3 linked regions of the Saccharomyces cerevisiae S288C genome follow. The gene in region 2 interacts genetically with the main gene of each other region. Each region holds a gene or a part of one and is shown on either strand. Other genes may lie near its edges.

The links. A genetic interaction does not mean that the proteins touch.
Region 1: mutations in GYP1 (region 2) and COG5 together harm fitness more than expected from each alone (negative genetic interaction), as found in Saccharomyces cerevisiae (7 studies listed by BioGRID, with this or other methods).
Region 3: mutations in GYP1 (region 2) and CHO2 together harm fitness more than expected from each alone (negative genetic interaction), as found in Saccharomyces cerevisiae (7 studies listed by BioGRID, with this or other methods).

Annotation. Positions count from the first base shown.
Region 1 is NC_001146.8:530,895-534,438, reverse strand, and holds COG5 (Golgi transport complex subunit COG5), read right to left. Parts: upstream 1,781-3,544; coding exon 569-1,780; downstream 1-568. Other genes in the region: YNL050C (uncharacterized protein), read left to right, coding at 1-360; COX5A (cytochrome c oxidase subunit Va), read right to left, coding at 2,253-2,714; tyrosine/serine/threonine protein phosphatase MSG5, read right to left, coding at 3,028-3,544. UniProt on the Saccharomyces cerevisiae protein: Acts as a component of the peripheral membrane COG complex that is involved in intra-Golgi protein trafficking.
Region 2 is NC_001147.6:455,407-459,888, forward strand, and holds GYP1 (GTPase-activating protein GYP1), read right to left. Parts: upstream 2,415-4,482; coding exon 501-2,414; downstream 1-500. Other genes in the region: VPS5 (sorting nexin 1), read left to right, coding at 1-389; NRT1 (nicotinamide riboside transporter), read right to left, coding at 4,074-4,482. UniProt on the Saccharomyces cerevisiae protein: GTPase-activating protein (GAP) that stimulates specifically the intrinsic GTPase activity of Ypt/Rab-type GTPases YPT1 and YPT7. Functions on the Golgi as a negative regulator of YPT1. Functions on the vacuole as a negative regulator of YPT7.
Region 3 is NC_001139.9:800,743-805,617, forward strand, and holds CHO2 (phosphatidylethanolamine N-methyltransferase), read left to right. Parts: upstream 1-1,697; coding exon 1,698-4,307; downstream 4,308-4,875. Other genes in the region: cleavage polyadenylation factor subunit PTI1, read left to right, coding at 1-1,081; exosome non-catalytic core subunit MTR3, read right to left, coding at 4,527-4,875. UniProt on the Saccharomyces cerevisiae protein: Catalyzes the first step of the methylation pathway of phosphatidylcholine biosynthesis, the SAM-dependent methylation of phosphatidylethanolamine (PE) to phosphatidylmonomethylethanolamine (PMME). Preferentially converts di-C16:1 substrates.

The sequences.
Region 1 (3,544 bases), on a different chromosome or scaffold from region 2:
TCTATCGACTATGATGTGATAATACAAGAAAGTACAAAAATTCTGGAGGATGATCTACGTATTCGTGATAAATGGCCATATTGCCAGGGTCGAATAATAGATCTGTATAAGCACAATGCGAGAATAGAGTTAGAGCAGCAGAAGGAATTGAAGATTAAAAAGAGGAGACCTGGTCAAAAGCAACGTGCAGCCAAAAAACTGGCACTTGAAAGAACCAAGGAGCGTGATACCAAAGCTCGTGAGATAAAGAAACAGTTGAAGAAAAAGTTTCATAAGCGTGGTGGAAAGAAAAACAAAAAAAAGGTACCTTTGAACCCACTGGCAAAAGCTGGCAGTACCCCTAAGTTTAGGACAGAATGACCACGTAAATGTATATATATACATATTAATACTTCATATAAACTAACCGATATTGGATTTCTCATAATAACTATTACTAGTATAATCTTTAATAATATAAACAAATATTACATTTCATGTAATTTTTATTAAACATATGCACATGCTATTGAAAATTGCTTTAGATTCATCCTATTTCATCAACATTCTTAATTTTATGTAAACTGTCTCACTTATTTAGAGAAATAGATACTGAGTTTAGCATTACATCCAAGTAGCTTTGGTAATCACTATTATCAGAAGATTTTTTCATACTTTGCTTCATAGTGTTTATAATAAAATCTTTATTTTTTAACAGCGACTTGCCCACAGGGCCTCCTCTATTAACAGATATATCAAAGTCCTTTTTGAAGGCAGATGAAACTTTGCTCCAAAACAGATCTCTCGGTGTACCAGAACCTGCTTTACTCTTCATTGAGGTATATTCTGATAAAAGATTGCCAAGGCGTGATTTATTAGCAGCAATAGATCTCGAGGAATTCGTAACATTATCCGTTTTGATGTTCTGTAGTAGTGTTTCTAAAATGTAGATGTTATAACCTTTTTCAACAACTTCATTGAACGCATCAGGAAACATCCTGATAGAATTTAAAATTTTTGATAGGATTTGTGAGCTCATTGTAACATTAGATAGTACAATCTTGTTTATTGCAGACTCGAATTCTTGAGATGAAAGTAGATATAAGGAGTAGGCCAGCTGAGATATTATTTCTTTGTTCGATTTGATTTTAATAGAGTTCAAGCACTCTTTACACATTTGTAAAGACAAAAATGTTATTAACTCTCTTTTGTTGGGGGAAACAATGTCCTGATCTAATTGTTTAATTTTCCGCAAGGATTTTAGATTTTTATTTTCTTCCAAAGTAATTTCAAGTTGGTAGTGTAAGGAGGCTAAATTAATAGCTGTTGATGTGCTTAGTTGGGCTGTTTTAGACAGTGCGTTTAATTTGTTTGATAAATGAATATAAAGCAATGCTCCGCGCAAGAGAAAAGATGTTTGGTAAACTTTACTCAACGCTAGTTGGACTTTCCTCGCTCTTTCATAAGGATCTAGAACTTGATTCTTTAGTCTATCGTACGACATATTCATATATCCCAAACTTGGTTTCAACTCACCAACTATGGTTGAATTGACGTGTTCATTTTTGTAAATTAACTCTATTATCTCCAATGGGTTGCTATTCATCAATTGGTCTATTCTAGAGTCAATCTCATGTAGATCATAGTTTAGCTTTTTAAGAGGCGTGTTAAGGTCTAAAATGGTTGTGTCATTGTTATTAGTAGCCTTCAGTAAGTCATTACCAAATTGTTTAGCATCAAAATCAGGCTCCAGCAGAGACTCAAAATCTTCTAAATCGTTTGCCATTGGCGCTATTGTCATACCTCCAGCTCTTTTCTTCTTTTTTGTTACACATTTTTATCTTCCATATCTATTCTAGTTGATTTTTTTTTTTTCATAGTATTCAACCAAATGGAGAAGTTTTTAAGAAATACGTCTTTGAAAGGGAGGCATAGAATAACAAGGTAAACCCATTTATACAGGATTCCCTCATACTATATTAGCTTATTTCATTCCAGGGGGGTTCCCTTAAATATAAGAATAATAAGAATAATGATATAAAATTATATGTCTAACAAAAAATTACAAAATTTGAGTAAATAAATAAAGAAAAAATGTGAGAGTGGCAATCAGCCAATTTTATGTTTGATATGTTGGCATTGTATTGGGCGGATGCCCATGGATACACTTATAATGTAATAAGATATTCACTTTCGTACAGGTCACAGACTAGCTGAAAAAACCATGACAATCGTTAACCCCTATTGATTTCCTTTCAAAATTTCTGGCCTGTTCATTTAGATTGGACCTGAGAATAACCACCCCAAGGATTAGCATTCTTCGACTTCAAATATTCGTCACTCTTTAGCTGCCACTCCTTATTCATGGTCTTTGCGTCTTGGCCACCCGCCATCCTGACGACAGCAAAAAGTCCCACTGAAAATAGTAGGCCTGCAGCAACACCTTTGGCAATAAAACTGGAATCACCCTTATTCAATACAGGTCTTCTTGGGCCCCATTCTCCGTAAGAAATGTACCACACAGCTTGCTTTTCAGGCTCAGTAAGCTGTGCCCATGGTAATTTTTGACGTTCACTCAACTTACTGACAATATCCTGCTGCTCAGTGGAGGGCATGTTCTCCCATCTGGATTGCAGATCCATTACAGCAGCGTTGGAAAGAGCATGTGTTTGAGCGAATCTTACGGATGTAATACGTGATAGTCCACCAGCTCTAGTAAAAGTGTTACGTAACATTGTAGATGCGTTCTTAGTTGATCTTGTGTTTGGTGCATTGCTTGCAAACAGAAGACAAAATACGAGGACTGATGGTTCTTATTTAATTGATTGTTCTTTTTAACTTTTCGCCGCCGCTTGTATCGGCGCAAAACGTAGGGCCAATCACAAACGAGGAAAACGTCTATTGGACGATTTTTGCAATGTGACACTTACAATGATGAATAATTACTATGTAGGCAGAAGTGCTAAGTACATTCTATTTAGAAGCGTAGGGAGGCGGTCTGCCTGCAGATCTGATAGTCATAAAGATTCTTTTGGGAGATGCTGTCCCTTAAGGAAGAAACATCATCTGTTCCGGGGCAGTAGATATTGATTCGTTGTCCACAGAAGCTTCCAGTGAATCTGCGGGTTGAGACAAACTTTTACAGTGCTCATCATCTTCCCCGCGTTCTGTGGCCAGTGCGGTCCTTGCTCCAGTCAACGTAGCAGGAGTTCTTGGCGTTACTTCCGAAGAATTGACAGAACTGTCATTCGGCGACGATGATAGATTCGTTACCATGGGAAAACTTCTAAAGGACGCAGAAGAGTAGGACTTCGTAGTCGAGGAAACTTCGTTGTTTCCGATGTCATCTTCCTCAGGCATGTGAACAGTCTCTCCTTCTTCGCCCGGTGAGTTCTTGGACAACATGGTTCCCCATTCCATAAGTTGGAAGATGAGACCCATGTTTGGACTTATATCCTTAGCAACACCTTTCAGCTTATTGTATGCATCATTTAAACTCAAGCCATAATATCGCATGATATACGCCACAATCAATGACGCCGATCTTGATACTCCACACTGACAG
Region 2 (4,482 bases):
CGATGGGTGTGATGCTGGACGACTATATTAGGTCATTGGCAAGCGTAAAAGCAATTTTCAATCAGAGATCCAAATTGGGGTATTTCTTGGTAGTAATAGAAAATGACATGAATAAGAAACACTCACAATTGGGCAAATTGGGTCAAAATATTCATTCAGAAAAATTCAGAGAAATGAGAAAGGAATTTCAAACATTGGAGAGAAGGTATAACCTTACAAAAAAACAATGGCAAGCGGTAGGAGATAAAATAAAAGATGAATTCCAAGGTTTCTCTACTGATAAAATTCGGGAATTCCGAAACGGCATGGAAATATCACTAGAAGCGGCCATTGAATCTCAAAAAGAATGCATCGAGCTTTGGGAGACATTCTACCAAACCAATCTTTAGATGATCTGTATACAATAACTTTATGTGTCACGTTCCTCAGGATTTATGAATTAGGAGATTTTTGTTTTATATTATTACATACTATACAGTAAGTAAAATGAATAGGTCCGTTTACAGCCAGTGCGACGTAGCATCTTTGTAAAGAGATTGCCAAATAAAGGCTTCGCTCAGAAGCATTTCAATATCCGTTTCAGTCCAGTCCTTTGTAGGAGGGTTCTGTAAGAAAGTTATAGTTTCTTGGAAATCCATTTCCATTAGCTGGTCACTCCACTTGATGAGGAATGCAGCACAAACAAACACATGAAACTCATTCAACGAAGACTGTCTCATTTTTCCACTGTCTTCAACAGCATTGTTTGGTGTCATATTAGAAAGAGCTGTGGTGGGAGATTGGAAATCTTTTGTTGGTGTAACAAAACTTGCCACTCGAGGTTCTGTTGGAGTAACAGGAGGTTTAATGTCATTGGACGACATAGAATAAGAAGAAGTGACCTCTTGTGAAGTTTCAGATAAATATGTGTCCCACATCCTTATTACTGTACCCATTTGAAATTCTCTCATCAAAAGGCAATTCATCCATCTGAATGCAAACTGTATAAACTCCACATGTTCATTTTGAAAATGGTTATATAGATCAGCATCAATTCGTTTCACTAGCTGACTCAAATTCTTCACTTGTCTTAATATGCCTGGTTGTCCGTGAATATAGTTATCGGTAATTTGTTCGAGCAATTTGGTAAGACACCAAAACGTGTCCGCTTCTAAATCTGTAATCTGTTCATCTACCATATAAGTAGAGGGGTCCTTTATCTCTACATCATCTATTTGTGAAGGCGGCAGATATTCGGTAAGAAAAGTCTCGAAAAATGGTGTAACTAAATCATTAATACCTTGCACATATCCGCTAGCAGGATGCCTGATTGCCCAAAGATATAGTATTCGTTGTAAACTGTTCTGTACGGATTTGAACTGGTAGAGGGGAATGTGGGGATTTGTTCTCGGTATATCTATCTCTATCTGATGCCAAGTTGGGATATCTCTTGAGTGCTGGTCAGAAAAGGTATGTTTCAGACTATCCCTATATTCTTTCCTCTTCCTTTGTAAGAAACCCTCCTGTCTCTTGGTGTTCACAGGCAAATAACCTATTAATAATTTCCAAACAACAGGCCTGTGTATTTTTGGGATACCATTCCAACTGATCTGGCGCAGATCCTGTTGATTTATGATTGTCTTATCTTTCAAAATATTGTCAAATTTAGAAATGCGCTGGATGATGGAGTTTAATTCTTGAACATCCCGTTCGTTTTCGATTTCCAACTGAGTTTTCTTGGAATCATTTGTTTTCTCTTTTTGCAGCTGTGGTAATTGAGGGTATGTAAAAGAGGAGGAAGAATTCCGTACTGCGGAGGTCCCCATATTCGAAATCGAATTGATGGAAGAAGAAGTGGATTTTCGCGACAAAGTTCTCGTTGGAGCTACAGGTGTACCAAATCCACCGTTAGTAAGTATAGGAATAGGCATATTATAATCGTCAATAACAGCACTCCAATCCTCATCTAAGTCTTTGAAATATCGATCACCCTTTTTGTTAGGCTCTGTACTGTTACTGCAATTGTTGCCTACACTACCACTACTGCTATGGCGGGGTTGTTGATGGTGGTGATGACGCTGGTGATGCTGACGTAAGAGTAAAGCAGGCCGGGGACTTTCGTTACTTGCAGTGCTTAGAGTGGGGTTTACATATCGTAGAGGTGAATAGGAATTCGAGGTACGTCTAGTGCTTGCTTGTTGCTTTGCCATAGCTTCAAAATTACCGTCACTGGTTCTCCGATCTCTATCTGCCGAGGAAGCATAACCCGAGGGTAAACTAGTAGATTCAGTAGTATTCATTTTGTATAACGATGGCTTCTTGGAGGAAGAAGCCGACGATATCCTCCAAGATTTCATCAGGGAAGTTACTAAACTGGAACTGTCCGAATTATGGTCCCGTTCGTGCATTTCCTTTGCAGCGGATCTCACACCCATTATATGGTTACTTTTATTAAGTGGTCGGTATTGGTGGTTGTTGTTGTTATTTGTATCCTTGATCTACTCTCCAATAATAGTTATAAAAATAGAAAGAAAACAAAACAATTAACAGCAGGACAAAAGCCAAACACTATAGCAATCTGGCTATATGATATGCAGAAAATAGTGATTACTGTGCTCTTTGCTGCATCATGCATCATATGTTTGGCATTCTGTCCTGTCAGATGAATGGGCGAAACAATTCGGGGAGCTTTGTTGCGACTTGGTACCCGGCAAGCCGCGACCTATATTTTGCATTAAACGAGTTCATCGTGGATTTATCGCCATGAGCCTTAGCTTATCAAGCCTCTCACAGACAATTAAGCAATGAAAAAGGTATACCATCGGCGCAGAATGGTTAACTAGTGGGTTCATACTGCTGTGTTATAGATTGTTACCTAAGTGATCACCAAAAAAAAGTGCAAAAAGGAAAAAAAAATAAGAGACAGGTAACTTCCACAAGCTTATTCTTCCAAAAATCAATCTTATCTTCATGCCAGCAATAGTTGCGTGCTGAGCTCAACAGTGCCCAACCCTTGTGCACCGTAGAATTGTAGAATACAAATACATAAATAAGTGTGTTCCCGAAGGACTAAGGAATGACGGCAGAGGAGTCTTGTGACCGCCCTGCTGCAAAACTTGGCAAGGACAGAAATTAAGTAATAGATACGCACAACCTTGGAGCACCAAGAAATGGCTGCAAAAGTAAATCTATAGTATTTCAAGCTGAGATATGATAATATGTTCAAAGGGCTAAAGTCTCATGAAACAGCGTCACTACAAGTCACATAAAGTTCGTACAGCAAGTCTATGCATGCTTTCCTCAAAAGAACTACCCAAATATAAACACATATACAAAAATTCAGATTTTACATTTCAGGTTTCCATAATATGTTAAAAGCTAGATCTTACATAGTGTCGGGAACAGGTCATTCTAAAAAAAGTAAAATAAAATAAAAGGGTTTCAAAGATCCATACTTCTCTACATTCTCTGACTTTTTAAAACTGTGTACTGGCGACCAATCGACAAATCTGCAACCCCAGCTTCATAAGCTTTCTCTCCCACCAGCAAAGCCTGGACCTCCCTGGTTCTAATAATGAGCGACTGAAGTTTTCCAAAAGAAACCTTCACTAAACATGTTATGCTCCTCAATCACGCGATGAAATAAAGGCCTATTTTTTGATCCAACGCCTTTGAAAATTTCCTTATGGCTGGGTGGGGTACCTACCATGAACATGTTAAAGGTAAGTGGTGGCATATTATGGAGTTACGCCCGTATACCAGAGTAATAATGTTGCCGCCGGATAGGCATGGCGCCCCCACCGGATTCTCTTGCTATATGGATGGCATAATTAGCTTATGAAAGGATTGGTAAGAATATGTCTTCTAGCAAGAAAATACTAAGAACCAATAGTTCCTTTTTTTATAAAATTATTGAGCCATACACAATAATGCCGATATTTGTCACCATAGACATACTTGACAGTAAAGTATTTGCAGCTGAGGATCGATCTGGTAGTATTCCCAAATTGTAAGATCTGTACAGATTTTCAAATGAAGCGTTGAAGTTTCCTCTTTGTATATTTGAGATCTTCATTTTATCGGATTCTTTGTCATCAGACAACTTGTTGAGTGGTACTAAAGGAGTGCTTTTCATCATCCTTTTGGTGAACGATTTCAAATACGTTAGTGTTTTCTGAGCTAGTTTTGATCAATTCAGGTGATTCGTTATCAGAACTCTCAGGTTTGTATTCGTGTCCAGTTGTGTAGCATTCGCCTAACGTGTAAGCACGGATTTCTTCCTCAGAAATTTCACTGTATGGAATCATGCCCTTCTTTCTCGCTTCTTCGTCGGTAAATGCACCATAGTAATCTTTGTCATCATGTCTAACAGTAATTTTGAATGGGAAGAAGACACATAGCCCCCAGTAAACGAAAAAAGAAATCAAAAAGGAGAAGAAAGAATCACCATAAAAGAATTTAACAATACCTGAGTCGTGGAAATAGTTATTGTTGACTTCCCAA
Region 3 (4,875 bases), on a different chromosome or scaffold from region 2:
TTATTTGACTAGTAAAGATTGTAAACGCGCTTGGGAAATTTTAAATAGAATTGAAAACTTTCCCGTAAAGATAGAGCAAATAATCCCACCAAATTATAAGGACCATCTTAGAGAAACAGCAAATAAAAATTCTCAAAAGCAGGTATTACAACTTAATAGAGATTCGTACCCCTTCGAGGCGGGTTTGGAGCTACCTTTCGAAATGGTGACAGAAGTCCCCATTCCTAGGCGACCACCGCCACCACAGGCTGCAAATAACACAAACTCTGTATCAAATAACACAAACATTCAATTCCCCGACATACTAAGTAAAGCATCTAAACACTTGCCAAGTTTCCAAGATGGCTCGATTATTGCACCAGACAAAATTTCACAAAATTTAAGTAAAATTCCGCCGTTGCAACTTATTGAAATTATATCAAATTTGAAAATATTATCAAACCAAGAAAACATCCAAAAATCGCAATTAGAATCTTTCTTAGATACTAACAGTGATATCACAATATCAGTGACCCAAGCCCTACTAGAAATGGGATTTATAGACTACAGCGTGGTGACTAAAGTGTTGAAATCCCAAGTTGGCGAGGCCCCATCTTTGCTTTCGAGTAATAACACAAGTAATTCGAACACCCCCGTAAGCGTAATTAGAAATAACACTCCGTTGCATGTACCTTCTAATGAAGTCAGCAACAATCCTAACAATATGCCACTGAACGTAGCTATGCCAATGCCTATGTCGACACCACCATTTATCCCTTTACCTCTGCAACAACAACCGTTCGGTTTTGCGCCACCGGGCCCTTTCATGCCTCCAGCTCAAGGCCCCTCCATGGGACAGCCTGTGTTGGCAAATCAACTCGGCCAGGTCCAGCAACAAAATATAAGTTCTACAGAAGGACCCTCTAACGCGAATAAAGCGAATGACAGCGGCACCATTAATATGGCGAAACTGCAATTACTACCTGAAAACCAACAAGATATGATCAAACAAGTTCTTACTTTGACACCTGCCCAGATCCAAAGTTTACCAAGTGACCAGCAACTTATGGTGGAAAACTTTAGAAAAGAATATATAATCTAAGTAATCAGAGCCATAGCGTATCAGAAAACCACACCTAATTAGATGGTTCTTGCATCTGTACCTCTTATCACTAAAAGCGGCACTAAACTTCCAACATTAAATGTTTGCCTTGTTAAATATATATTTTTGCCTTGGTTTAAATTGGTCAAGACAGTCAATTGCCACACTTTTCTCATGCCGCATTCATTATTCGCGAAGTTTTCCACACAAAACTGTGAAAATGAACGGCGATGCCAGAAACGGCAAAACCTCAAATGTTAGATAACGTGGATCTCCGACACATGTGAATTTATAAGTAGGCATATGAAAATACAGATTCTTTCCACTGTGTTCCCTTTTATTCCCTTCTCATGTGAAGAGTTCACACCAAATCTTCAAAATATAACTAATATAGTAGAGTTTGATTCAAAGGACCTTTTTTTTTGCCTCTTTGATTAGTTTATCTTCTTTTCTTCATTTTATCCCCTAATTTTATACGTTAGTTCAACCTAACAATCCAGGATTTCATTAACAAGAAAGGTAAAAGTAACCTATCAAGGCTATTTTGAAAAAAAAAATTCCGCCCTGAATATTTCGAGTGATTTTCTTAGTGACAAAGCTTTTTCTTCATCTGTAGATGTCCAGTTGTAAAACCACTTTGTCTGAAATGGTTGGTTCTGTGACAAAAGATAGGGGCACTATCAACGTCGAAGCCAGAACACGTTCGAGTAATGTAACTTTCAAACCACCTGTAACCCACGATATGGTGCGTTCGCTTTTCGATCCAACTTTGAAGAAATCTCTGCTGGAAAAATGCATCGCGCTAGCTATTATATCGAATTTTTTCATTTGTTATTGGGTCTTCCAAAGGTTTGGCTTACAGTTTACCAAATACTTTTTTCTGGTACAGTATTTATTTTGGAGAATTGCTTATAATTTAGGTATTGGACTGGTTCTGCATTACCAGTCACATTATGAAACACTAACGAATTGTGCTAAAACTCATGCGATTTTCAGCAAAATACCACAGAATAAAGATGCTAATTCGAATTTCTCAACAAATTCCAATTCCTTTTCAGAAAAATTTTGGAATTTTATTAGGAAGTTCTGTCAATATGAGATTAGGTCTAAAATGCCAAAGGAGTATGATTTATTTGCCTATCCAGAAGAGATCAACGTCTGGTTGATATTTCGCCAGTTTGTCGATTTAATCTTGATGCAAGATTTTGTGACTTACATTATTTACGTTTACCTTTCTATTCCATATAGCTGGGTTCAAATCTTCAACTGGAGATCTTTGCTAGGTGTTATTTTGATTTTATTTAACATCTGGGTCAAGTTAGATGCGCATCGCGTGGTTAAAGATTATGCTTGGTACTGGGGTGATTTCTTCTTTTTGGAAGAATCTGAATTGATTTTTGATGGTGTCTTCAACATCTCTCCACATCCAATGTATTCTATTGGTTATTTGGGTTATTATGGCCTATCATTGATTTGTAATGACTACAAGGTTCTTCTGGTGTCCGTATTTGGACATTATTCTCAATTTTTGTTTCTGAAATACGTCGAAAATCCTCATATTGAAAGAACGTATGGTGATGGCACTGATTCCGATTCTCAAATGAATAGCAGAATTGATGACTTGATATCAAAAGAGAATTACGATTATTCAAGACCTCTAATTAACATGGGTCTTTCTTTTAACAACTTCAATAAGCTAAGATTTACTGACTATTTCACAATTGGTACCGTAGCGGCACTTATGTTAGGAACAATCATGAATGCTAGGTTTATCAATTTAAATTACCTCTTTATTACCGTTTTTGTAACAAAACTGGTTTCATGGTTATTTATCTCGACAATATTGTACAAGCAATCTCAGTCTAAATGGTTCACGAGATTGTTTTTGGAGAATGGTTACACACAAGTTTATTCCTATGAGCAATGGCAATTTATTTACAATTATTATTTGGTATTAACCTACACACTTATGATAATTCATACAGGGCTTCAAATTTGGAGTAATTTTTCCAACATAAACAACAGTCAATTAATTTTTGGTTTAATTCTTGTGGCTTTACAAACATGGTGTGATAAGGAAACGAGACTAGCAATCTCTGATTTTGGTTGGTTTTATGGTGATTTTTTCTTGAGCAACTATATCTCAACTAGAAAGCTGACTTCCCAAGGTATCTACAGATATTTGAATCACCCAGAAGCGGTATTAGGCGTTGTTGGAGTTTGGGGTACTGTATTGATGACGAATTTTGCCGTTACAAATATTATCTTGGCTGTTTTATGGACATTGACAAATTTTATTCTTGTCAAGTTTATTGAAACACCTCATGTTAATAAGATATATGGTAAAACTAAACGAGTTAGTGGTGTTGGAAAAACTTTACTAGGCTTGAAACCTCTAAGACAAGTTTCAGATATTGTCAATAGAATTGAAAATATTATAATCAAATCATTAGTTGATGAAAGCAAGAACTCCAATGGTGGGGCAGAACTTTTGCCCAAAAATTATCAAGATAACAAAGAATGGAATATTTTAATTCAGGAAGCAATGGATAGCGTTGCAACAAGATTGAGTCCATACTGTGAATTGAAAATTGAAAACGAGCAGGTAGAAACCAATTTTGTCTTGCCTACTCCAGTAACTTTGAATTGGAAAATGCCCATTGAACTTTATAACGGAGATGATTGGATTGGTTTGTATAAAGTCATTGATACAAGGGCAGATCGTGAAAAAACAAGAGTTGGATCAGGTGGTCATTGGAGTGCGACTTCTAAAGATTCATATATGAACCATGGATTAAGACATAAAGAATCTGTAACAGAAATAAAGGCGACTGAAAAGTACGTTCAAGGTAAAGTGACATTCGACACGTCTTTGCTTTATTTTGAAAATGGTATCTACGAATTTAGGTATCATTCTGGTAACTCCCATAAGGTGTTATTGATTTCTACACCATTTGAAATTTCATTGCCGGTACTAAATACCACGACACCTGAACTGTTTGAGAAGGATTTGACTGAGTTTTTGACGAAAGTCAACGTTTTGAAGGATGGTAAATTTCGTCCATTAGGAAATAAGTTCTTCGGGATGGACAGCTTGAAACAATTGATTAAGAACTCAATTGGCGTCGAACTTTCGTCTGAGTATATGAGGAGAGTCAATGGTGACGCTCACGTTATTTCGCATCGCGCTTGGGATATAAAACAAACGCTTGATAGTCTTGCTTGAGTTTTTTTTTTTTGAGTATATATATTTAAAAAGTACTAGGATTCAAGTTAACATTTTGAATAGAAGTAGTTATGTTGTTGTAATATAATGGAGCTACCATATATGCAGAATGACATTATAAATTATGATGTTGATGTACAATGCCTTTGTGCGCTTCTTTTACCATGAATTTTTTCTTAACCTCTTTCACTTTTCTTTCCGACTAGGATAATCTCGTGTCTAAGTTTCCTGGTTCATTAAACAGCTTATCATTAAATCTCTATAACGGTTATATTGCTCCTTGCAACGATCAAGGCATTCCAAAAGATCTTCATCGTCACCATCATCCTTCCAAAAACCTACAATTTCCTCTCCATTTTTGATGAATGATACGACAGTGCCATTGGCCTCACCGGCACCTGCCATATCCACTAATTCGATGCCGGCATCAGCTAAGGCTAGCGTTATACTAGTGATACAATGTGGTATGAGAGATGATATTTGAGAAGACATCATTTTGCTTTGCGAATCGTCGTCCTGAGGATTATTTGTAAGATCCTTATCATACGTTAAATAAACGAAGATATCG